Rattus norvegicus: one gene and its partners. The protein of the gene in region 3 purifies or fractionates together with the protein of the main gene of each other region. This does not show direct contact. Links are inferred from orthologs where the notes say so. Each region holds a gene or a part of one and is shown on either strand. Other genes may lie near its edges.

The links.
Region 1: the proteins of Sbf1 (region 3) and Mtmr1 purify together in Homo sapiens (affinity purification with mass spectrometry; 4 studies listed by BioGRID and IntAct, with this or other methods). This does not show direct contact. The link is inferred for Rattus norvegicus from reciprocal best matches to the Homo sapiens genes SBF1 and MTMR1.
Region 2: the proteins of Sbf1 (region 3) and Mtmr2 purify together in Homo sapiens (affinity purification with mass spectrometry; 6 studies listed by BioGRID and IntAct, with this or other methods). This does not show direct contact. The link is inferred for Rattus norvegicus from reciprocal best matches to the Homo sapiens genes SBF1 and MTMR2.

What each region holds. Positions count from the first base shown.
Region 1 is NC_086036.1:256,913-260,563, reverse strand, and holds part of Mtmr1 (myotubularin-related protein 1), read right to left. Parts: intron 1,447-3,651; coding exon 1,333-1,446; intron 519-1,332; coding exon 342-518; intron 1-341. UniProt on the Homo sapiens protein: Lipid phosphatase that specifically dephosphorylates the D-3 position of phosphatidylinositol 3-phosphate, generating phosphatidylinositol. Could also dephosphorylate phosphatidylinositol 3,5-bisphosphate to produce phosphatidylinositol 5-phosphate.
Region 2 is NC_086026.1:18,930,449-18,934,099, forward strand, and holds part of Mtmr2 (myotubularin-related protein 2), read left to right. Parts: intron 1-377; coding exon 378-472; intron 473-823; coding exon 824-934; intron 935-3,017; coding exon 3,018-3,119; intron 3,120-3,651. UniProt on the Homo sapiens protein: Lipid phosphatase that specifically dephosphorylates the D-3 position of phosphatidylinositol 3-phosphate and phosphatidylinositol 3,5-bisphosphate, generating phosphatidylinositol and phosphatidylinositol 5-phosphate.
Region 3 is NC_086025.1:122,240,484-122,244,134, forward strand, and holds part of Sbf1 (myotubularin-related protein 5), read right to left. Parts: intron 3,599-3,651; coding exon 3,468-3,598; intron 3,398-3,467; coding exon 3,167-3,397; intron 1-3,166. UniProt on the Homo sapiens protein: Acts as an adapter for the phosphatase MTMR2 to regulate MTMR2 catalytic activity and subcellular location. Promotes the exchange of GDP to GTP, converting inactive GDP-bound Rab proteins into their active GTP-bound form.

The DNA of each region.
Region 1 (3,651 bases), on a different chromosome or scaffold from region 3:
CGACTGCTCTTTCTAAAGGTCCTGAGTTCGATTCCCAGTACCCACATGGTGGTTGCAACCGTTTGTCATGGGATCTGATGCCCTCTTCTGGTATCTGAAGACAGCGATTTATATATAATATATAGATCTTTAAAAAAAAAAAGTTTGAACTCTTAACTCAGTAAACGGAGCGGGGTTGGTAACGGCAAAGAACCTTCTAGAACACACAAAACATGGAACCCTAACTCCTAGGGCAGTGCACCCTCAGTACGTCAGCGTCTACCATGAATACATCTTATGACGTCATCCTCGCCCAGGAAGAAAGGTCATGTCCTTATGAGAACGAGAAAACGGAAAATTACCTGCGGCCTCATCCGTGGGTTCCACCGTACGTAGTAATTTACCCACAATTCCAAGCGGCTAACACTCGCGACCGGATACAGCACGTGGTGGTCGTAGCTCACGAAGAAGGGGTTGGAGAATTCGTCGAGTTGGCTGTTGATGTAGGACCACAGCGACAGGGTCTTTGCACAGACGTCCTGGGAACAAACAACCGGGACACGGGAGTGAGTTCCTCACCGCAGCCCCGAGGGCGATTATTATTATTATCTTATTTTCACACAAACGTATTTTAAATAATGAGCTGAGTTCACACACTGAGACATCTGGATGCACACAGCCTCATGTGCAGATGTGCTGTCCCCAGAAACAGCACCAAAGTGAGGCAACACCTGGAAACTGGCTGCAGGGAGGAGGGACGAGAACTTTCTATATGAATGGCCAATATTTGTTAATTCCTGTGTGTGTGTGTCTGTGCATGTGCGCACGTGTGCGTGTGTGTATGTGTATGTGTGTCTGGGTGTATCTGTGTGTGTGTGTCTGAGGTACCAGAAAAATGGGTGTCACTGGTGCCGTGCGGATCCCACAGGCGTGGGTAAAAGCCTCACCGAACTGAACATCAGCGACTGCACTGCGCTTCCGATGAGCGCATTCACTGTGTCGGCGGAAGAATTAATTTATGTCACGAAAATTGATAAAGATTTTACTCCGCTGTTGTGGGTTTGTTTTGTTCTGCTTTAAACATCTGGATTGATGGATTTAAACATCTGCATTGAGATTCGATTCCAATGCCATTACACCCACCATTCAATCCTCCCTTTTAAAATTAAAAACTTAGCAGAAATAAATAAATATTCATAGGAATAAATAAAACCCTGTTTATTCATATAAAATAAATTAAAATATTTTTTAAAAGTTGATAGTTTCATCAAACCGAGGGACACACGTGGATTTCGCAGTACGCCCGGAATAGCTATGACGTGCGCTGTGAAGCGCGCTGTGACCTGCGCTCACCTCTCTGACACGCTGCTGCTCGCAGTTGCACAGGAAGGTCCCGAAGAGGCAGCTGTACAGGTGATCCAAAATTGCGATCAGGAACAACTCGTTAAACTCGAATGCCGAAGGGAACTGAAACGGAGAGGAAAAATTAAAGTTCATTCTTAAAGTTTAATCACGGAAGCAAAGTCATATCGCTCAATTTTGGGGGTTTTTTTTTTTTTTTGTGGTTTTGGGTTTTTTTGTTTGTTTTTTGATTTATTTCTCTGATGGCCCAGAAGCACCTTGATATCCTCAGTCGTCGGGGAAACGCAAATCGAAACAACCCTGAGATTCCACCTCCCACGAACCAGAATGGCTAAGATTTAAAAAAAAAGAAATCTTGAGTGATGTCAAGGGCTACTGAGGACAGGGAGCAGGAGGGATATTTTTAAATTGCCGCTGGGATCTGGCGGTTTCTTAGAAAACTAGGAATGGTTCTACCTCAAGACCCAGGTATACCACTCCTGGGCATGTACCCAAAAAGATGTCCCACCGTACCGCAGGGACATTTGCCCCACTATGTTCACGGCAGCTTTATTTGTAGTAGCCAGAAACTGGGAATGACCAAGATATCCCTCAACTGAAGAATGGATAAAGAAAATGCAGTTTGTCTACACAGTGGAATACTATGCAGCCGTTAAAAAGAGAAAGACATCATGAATGTTGCAGACGAATGGATGAAAGTAGAGGTTGGGGATTTAGCTCAGTGGTAGAGCGCTTGCCTAGCAAGCGCAAGGCCCTAGGTTCAGTCCCCAGCTCCAAAAAGAAAAAGAAAAAAGAAAGTAGAAAATATCGTCCTGAGTGAGGCAATGCAGACCCAGATGGATGTATACGGTGTGTACTCATGAGTGGGTATCAGCTGTGAATTACAGGTACCATGCTACCATGCACAGAACCAAGGAAACAAAATACCGAGGAAGGCCCAGGGGAGGAAATAAAATGGACATTGGAGGATGGAGGGATAAGGATACCGACCCGGATGTCACAGGATCTCCAACCCAAAATAGATCCTGACTACAAGATGTGCAGGGACAACGATGGAGCCGAGGCCAAGGGAACTTACAACCAGCCCAACCTGAGACCCATCCCATGGGTGAGAACCAGCCCCTGAATCTCGTGGAAGAGTTAGAGGATCCAGCGGGGATCGGAACCCCAGAAGATCTGCAGAGTCCACAAACCTGGACCCTTGGGGGCCCCCAGAGACTGAACCACCAACCAAAGAGCACATATGTGGGCTGCACCTATACCACGCCCTGCCCCCCGACACACATACCCACACACCCACACACACACACATAGCACACGTGCTGCACCTACTACGCCCCCACATAGCACACACATATAGCACATGTGCAGCTTGGCCTTCATACGGGTCCCCAACAACTATAACCAGGATGTAACATGAATGAATTTTACCAGAGAACAGGAAGGGACCCTCCAAGATCAGCATTTGCCGGATGTGATTTAAGAAGAATAGAGAGCATGACCGGCTCTGCACACATTACAGATTATTCACACTTAAGAACTGTCCCACAAACACAATCCCATGAGCTCGAGCTCCTGAATCATTACCTGTGCGTAAACGAACTGAGTCTAGCAGTATAGAAAAAGGGATTGTAACGTGGCAGAGTTTGGTTTATTCTATAAGAATGCAAGGCTGGTTTAACAGTAAAAAAAAAAAAAAAAAAAAAAAAAAATCAATCAATGTTAAAAAGATTCGAGGCCTTAGGCTGGAGAGATGGCTCAGTGGTTAAGAGCACTGACTGCTCTTCCAAAGGTCCTGAGTTCAAATCCCAGTAACCACATGGTGGCTCACGACCATCTGTAATGAGATTGGATTCCCTCTTCTGGTGTGTCTGAAGACAGCTACAGTATATAATATATATATATACTTTAAAATACTTTAAAATAAAAAAGCTCGCTCTCTTTCTCACTTAAAAAAAAGATGTGAGGCCGGTTTCATAGTAAAAACCAACGTTAAAAAGAAATCAATGACAATATTAAGAAATATTAAAAATATGTATATAAGAAATATAAAAAAAGAAATATTAAGAGATTAAAGAATAAAAACCACATGGTCACCTCCACTGTCTTAGGCAACACATGATGCATTTTTTTCCGAATTTCTGTGAAGCTTATTATTATCACCACCGCCAACAGGTTTCAGCCGGTCACAGCCAGTCAGCAGCCATGCGACATCTGGAAATAATGGCCTCAGCGGCTGGCGTGCACGGAGTTGACTGAGGGAGTGTTAACTGAGATGCACTCTGCTAAGGAAGCAAAGAAAACTGGAAC
Region 2 (3,651 bases), on a different chromosome or scaffold from region 3:
CCTGCATTTCCTTGGGGGAATATGATATTTTGCCCTAATAATGGCATGGAAGGAATTTATAATATTTTAAGATTGAAAAACCCTGCATTAGCTAGTTGGTGGTGGTGCCCGCCTTTAATCTCAACGGAAGCAGGCTGATCTCTGAGTTCAAGGCCAGTTTGATCTGCAAAATGAGTTCCCGGACAGCCAGGGATACTATAGTTCTTAGATTAAGATAAAGTTGGAAGTTTAGATTAAGCTTCTGAAGGATTTTTTTACACCATTTATTCTATGATTTGTTACAATTAGCCAAGCAGTCAAATTACTTTTATAAAATGCGTAATCTGTTTTTAACAGCACATAGTGTCAAGTAAACTATGGCTATTTTGTCTTTTCAGCCAAAGATGTGACTTACATATGTCCGTTCACTGGTGCTGTACGAGGGACGCTGACTGTCACAAATTACAGATTATATTTCAAGAGCATGGAACGGGTGAGGCTTTTGTCTATATATTTGTGTGTGTTTGGTATGTTTGCTTACTTCTGGTTAATTGACTTATTTATTTTTGAGACATAAAGTCTTAAGTATGTAGTCATAGCTGTCCTGTAACTTGCTATGGGACCAAACTAGACTCAAACTCAGTAGTCTTCCTGCCTCAGTCTCCAAGTGCTTGGTGTAAAGGTTGCTCCACCACTCCCAGTTCACTTCTGGATAATATTTGATTAAAGAATTTCTGGTTAAGATTTTTAACATTTTGGGGAAGCAGGTGTCCATGGTCCTGTTCATGTTATTCAAGCACTTTGCAGTTTTTTATAAGTTGTATGTTTTCTTTTCATCTTGCAGGACCCTCCGTTTGTTCTAGATGCTTCTCTTGGGGTGATAAGTAGAGTAGAAAAAATCGGTGGTGCATCTAGCCGTGGTGAAAATTCTTATGGCCTGGAAACGGTGTGCAAGGTAAATTTTACAATCTTGGTATGGTTGTATTTGCTCTAGAGCTGTTAAATAGAACCTCTACTTGGAAACTGGTCCAAGTGGATTACATACTAAAAATGTATTCTTAGGGTAGTGAGTGTTATTCACTGTTAAATCACATGGCATTTTATACCAGGACCTAATCAACATCTTTGCACATCTCTTTTTTTGTTATTGTTGTTTTCTAGGATAAGGTCTCTGTTCTGGAACTTGCTCTGTAGACCAGGCTGGTCTCAAACTCATAGATCCGCCTGCCTCTGCCTGCCACGTGTGTGCTGCCACCACCTGGCTTGTGCACATCTCAATTCTAGACCGCATGACTTCTGTTGCATTCTCTCAGTGCCCTAAGAAAAAGAGACAGTATATATCATCCAGAGTGTTTGCATATGTTCATCTTAAAAGTTTGTTGAATCTCCTGTTAAAATTATTGACTTAGTCACTAGTATTTTCTTTTTTTTTTTTTTTGTGGTTCTTTTTTTCGGAGCTGGGGACCGAACCCAGGGCCTTGCGCTTTCTAGGCAAGCGCTCTACCACTGAGCTAAATCCCCAACCCCTAGTATTGTCTTGATGTCAAGGTTCTGAGTATACTAGCTCTCATCCATGTATATCGTATACCTTGCTTCTTGGTATTTCTTTAGCAAGAAATAGTACATAAAGTTTCAGGAAGGCTGGCTTTTGAACTCATTGTAGATAAGGTTTTTTGTTTTGTTTTGTTTTGTTTTGCTTTGCTTTTGTGGATCTGTACCATTATAGTTGGATCTTTGCTAGAGAGCAGTTAACCAAAGAGGTGATCTGAGGGTCTTCACTAGTCATAGAGACGTACAGGAGGGCACAGTGTACAGATGTGTGTTTTCACAGAAGAGTACAGATGCTACTCATTTGGCTCAGATTTGCAGTAAGCTATTTGCATTGAAAATACACCATGTGTTGTCTCTGTGTGTGGTTTTTCTACGTTACCGGAGTGTTCTCCTACCGTCAGGAGTAAATCCATTGGTCAGACTCTGCTGGCTGGATGGGTGCTGTGTGACACATAGTGTCATTTCGGGGTGCTCTCAAGGATACAGTCGTCTTTCTTCCCTGGAATGAAGTCTAAAATTGCTTGTAAAATGGAGTGTCAGTATTAAAAACAAACAAAACTGTTTCTTTTTTTTTTTTCTTTGCTTTTCTTTTTTTTTTTTTTTTTTTTTTTTGGAGCTGGGGTCCGAACCCAGGGCCTTGCGCTTGCTAGGTAAGCACTCTACCACTGAGCTAAATCCCCAACCCCAACAAAACTGTTTCTTATAAGTATATCATTTTATATTGTACAGTACTGAGTAACAGAGTAGGGTACAGCCTCATCTCAACAACGATGAAACTATAACAAAGTAAATTCAACTTTTGCCTAAGTTAAAATACTTAAATAAAAATGGATATTTCAAAATCATTTTTAATGTCAAATGTTTTTACTAGGTGCTAGGCCAGCATAAATTTGGCTTCTAATGTCACTGTGCCTGAGCATGGGAAGTGGCTGAGGACACACGCAGAGAGGGCTCCCAGGATCCAGTGCAGGCCGAGTCTGGGTGGGCACAGCCAGCTCTAGGCGTGTCATTGCAGTGGAGGAGGAGGAGGAAGTAAAGGCAGGCCAGTCCTGTCTAGCAGAGGAGACTTGAAGTGAGCCCTAGGAAGAAGAAAAGTAAGAAGATGATCACTGTACATGATAGAAATGATAACGACTGATTGTGGTTTTTATTTTTAAAAATTAGGTTCTGGGAAGTAAGCTACGCCCTGTGCTTATGAGACAAGCACTTTATCTACTGAGCCATCTGCCCAAAAAGAACAAATGTTGGGCCTCTGTCAGTACTTAGGTCATTTTCTTCCCCTTTGGCCGGCCGAGCCGAGAGCCCAGGAAGATTCTCTGCCATGTAGTGTGTGCTAGGTTTCTTCTGCTCCCAGTTCATTGTTCTTTGTTTGCAGGAGCTGTTGTTGTATAAATGCAGATCTTCCCTTTACCCAACATTTCCAAGTAACCTCATTTGTTCATTAAACAGAAAGAAAATGATTTAATTAGACGCTATATCTTTTCTAGGATATCAGGAATTTACGATTTGCTCATAAACCAGAGGGGCGAACAAGAAGATCAATATTTGAGAATCTAATGAAATATGCATTTCCTGTGTCTAACGGCTTGGTAATGTTTCTCTCTAATCCATATTGTAATTGTTAGTGTGAACACACCCAGCTAGGTTGTCCAGATGCTACCTTTTATGTTCCTGATTTGACACTTAGCTAGAGGCTGTCTTGTGCCTAAGGTCCCCTATGTGACACTCTATAAGTACCTGTTGATTTCTTGGGAGGAGGAGCAAACTGGAGCTTGAACCCAGGGCTTTATACATGGTAGGCACATCAGTAACCAAGCGATTTTGTTTATGTGTCTTTATTTGAGACAGGCTGGCTTATATAATATTTTTTCATCAGGATATTTCTAGGATAAAAGCTTATGTAGTCTTCATTAGAGTTGGAAGTCTCCCTGGGGAGAGCTGGCAGTGACTAGGAGTCTGGGACAGTCACTAGTGTAGCAGTGTTTTAGCTGTGCGAGGTTCTCTCAACTGCATGATAGCGCGTCATTCACCCCCAGTCAGAGCCAGTGCACTGAATTTCTCCTCTGGGCTGCAGTTATCCTTTGAGACACCATAGTTTTTTCCTAGTTACATGTTAAAAAG
Region 3 (3,651 bases):
ACCTATGTGTACTGTGTGAGGGAGGACAGACCTATGTGTACTGTGTGAGGGAGGACAGTCCTATGTGTGCTGTGTGAGGAAGACAGTCCTATGTGTGCTGTATGAGGAAGACAGTCCTATGTGTGCTGTGTGAGGAGGACAGAATGGCTCCTCAAAGTTGACCTCTAATCTTCTACCCTCACACATGCACAGACACACTAAGTAAGTAAATATAATTTCAAAATTTTTTAAAGTATATCTAATTTCAAAAACTTTCTTAAAGTATGTCTAGGGGTGGTCCACTTCTTTAATCCCAGCACTCAGGAGGCAGATGCAGGCCAACGAGGATTATATCGAAAGATAAAAATAAAAGATGGCGTTCCATGGTCTATAAGGATATGAATGAGCACTGACTTTGGTGAGCACACTGCAAGCCAGAAAACAACGTAATGACGCCTCCACTATTCTATCAGTGGGGCTTGAGTGTAAAAACTGACCACATCTGAACCCTGCATTCAAAGAAAATACTTTTAAAAGTAATGACGCGTGGGCTAAGTGTAGACTAGCTCAGTGTTGGAGAAAGCACTTGTTTCCATGCACAAAGCTGGAGTTAATATTCACCACTAAACAAGTCAAAAGAAAGGTGGAAAGAGACAGGTAGGCAAAACCAGGCATTGCGTTTCCCACATAATTCTACCTAACTGGAAGGCTAAAATAGAAGGATCATTTAGGATTAGAGGTTCAAGGCCAGCCTAGGGAAACACAGCAACACCCTATCTCTTAAAAATAAGTGAGAGTTGGGCATGGCAGTTTATAAATGTAATCCTAAAACTTGGAAGGTTGAAGCAAAAATATCAGGAAGGAGCTCAAGTCCTTCCTTAGCTACGTTAAGACGTGTCTCAGAGTTAGCATTAGCTGGGCACAACAGCATGCGCTGTTAACTAGAAAGCTAAGATATAAAGGTTACTGAGCTTGAAGCCAGCCCGAGAAAGAAAAATACATTAGTTCTAGGTTAACTTGGGCTAGAGTGAGACCCTGACAGACAGACACAGACACAGACACACAGACACACACACACACCCTTAAAGATACTGCAGGTAGTCGGGCGGGCAGAGGTCATGGTTCAGTGGCAGAACACTTCATGTACACACAAGGTCCTGGGACTGACTCACTCAATAGACTGCACTACCACAAAGGGTGGGGACATGTCAGATGTAATAAAACTGACTAGCAAATCTGTATTACAAGAAATACTAAAAATTTTTCAGTCTGAAAGGAACTGGTATTGGACTAGATATACAAAGAAAAAAGGAATTAGAGGCCAGACCTAGAGTATGCCTGTACTTGTAAATAATGGGGAGGCTGAGGCAGGAGGATCTTAAATTGTAGTCAGCTAGGACAACATAGATCTTGGATGATGGTGGTGGTGGTGATGATGATGGTGATGATGGTGAGGGTGGTGGTGGTGATGATGATGGTGATGGTGGTGATGATGATGACCAAGTTTCAGCTGTAGCTCAGTGGTAGAGCATTTGCCTGGCCATATATAAGGCCCTGAGTTCAATCCTTAGTATTGAATTCCCTTCAAGAGTATATGAGCATTACCTGGCTTCTTCATGTACAAAGTAGGATGCTGATTTGTGCCTCCCAAGGGAGGGAGTAAACACCTTCCTTTCTTTTGACTTGTTTAGTGGTGAATATTAACTCCAGCTTTGTGCATGGAAACAAGTGCTTTCTCCAACACTGAGCTAGTCTACACTTAGCCCACGCGTCATTACTTTTAAAAGTATTTTCTTTGAATGTAGGATTCAGATGTGGAAGTTTTTACATTCAAGCTCCACTGATAGAAAGCCAAGCAAAGCAAAGATACTGGAGATGGCAGAAATAGAAAGCCTTTCTCTCATTGTGTAACTTCTTTAAAAACAAAGTTGACTAAAACAAAAATAAAATACTATGCGTATTTATGCCGTAGGAAAGCTAAGAGGCCCAGTAAAATCAGATCAAGACAACTCTTCTGATTTCCACACTATCATTCCCTGTACAAAACTACCCGCCCACAGGTGCCCACAGGTGCACACAGGCGCACTCGAGGAATAAACCCTTCCGATCAGGCCCTATACTGGCTCATCCAAACATATTTCACATTTACTCCCTCCCTTGGGAGGCACAGATCAACATACTTTGCACAAGAAGAAGTCAGGGGATGCTCACTTAATCTTGAAGGGAACACAGTCAGCACAGAGGAGTGCAAACCTCTTCTTACTTAGGACTTGGGGCTAAGTCCTTCTTAGGACTTCTGACTGCTCAACCCCTTTAATGAGCCACTAAGGGAGGCCATGCCACAGACAGAGTCTGTCACTGTACATTGCCTCAGCTACCACAGAGCATCTAGCACAGCTCACTTGACCATTTTTTCTTTCAAGGGATCTGTGCCTTGAGTCTGATTCCTGAACAGATAGAGCCAGAAAAGATGGCAAATTGAAGGCAAAAGTGATTCCCTAAACTCCAGGGCTGGATCCCAGGAGAGCTACTGCTCACTTTCAGGCATGCCAGACAGACAGCTGAGCAGACAGAGAGTGAGTAACTCCTGGGACAACTCTGCCTGCACTGACACCCAGGTACTGAAGTGTGCATGTGGTTTGACCTCAAGGTACATGTGTGAAAGTAAGACTAGTCCCCGAGTAGCAGATTAGGTAGGAAGTGATGAATCTGTAAGAGGTGGGGTCTGGTGGAAGGTCTCTGGTCATAGGGAAGGTCTTGGAAAGGGTGAGAAAATTTCTTGGGAGACCGCCATGATGTGGCCCAGCCCAGACACTTCCTAGAACTGAGTACATTCCCTTGAGCCTCCAGAACTGCAAGCTAAATGAATTTCTCTACCTTGTAAACTAACATATCTCAGTATTTCCTCACAGCGACAAAAAGTGATTAATATACCAGGTAAAGGGATACACATATGCCAAGAGCAAAACCCAAGTCTTGAGTCTTGAGAGTTTCTGACAGATGCTTTCGCATCACTATCTGTAAATATCTATTAGCACGAGACAAAGACCTAAGACCCACAGCTATCTGAAGTATGTAAGCAGTTCACACAGTGAGTGAAGTGAGAGCCACCCCCAGCTCTCAAGGGGAGCTGCTGACACACACACACATGCACAGGCCTTCTCCTGCTGCCTGGGACAGCACACACCTCCAGCAGACGTGAGATGGCATCAGGCTGGACTCGAGGGCGGCTGTCATAGCACGGCCAAACCACACGGCGCCTGCTCTGGGGAGCACCTCCATCAGGACGCTCCTCTTCTGGAGGCTCAGGAGGCCCCTGGGCCAGCTCCCAGTCATAAGGGGGCCCCTCAGCCAGCGTCTCCTCAGTGTAGAAATCCCACACCTTCAGGTTGGACACATTGCTGTAGGGCCGCAGCACCTGGGGAAAGTAAGCCTCCATAAGAAGCCCGGCTACGTGGGAGCCGCCGCCCCAGCCAGGCCCCACTCACCTCTGTGTCCTCAGGTGCATATGTGTAGTTGTAGAACATGGGGGTCCTCTTGCTTAGCCGGTCTACATATTCCCACACAGACTTGCAAGCCAACTGGCCTCTGCGCTCACCCTTCTCCTCATACAGCAGTCCTACACAAGAGCAGCGCTGAGCCCAGGCCCCTCTGGCCCAGACGGCTGCCCCA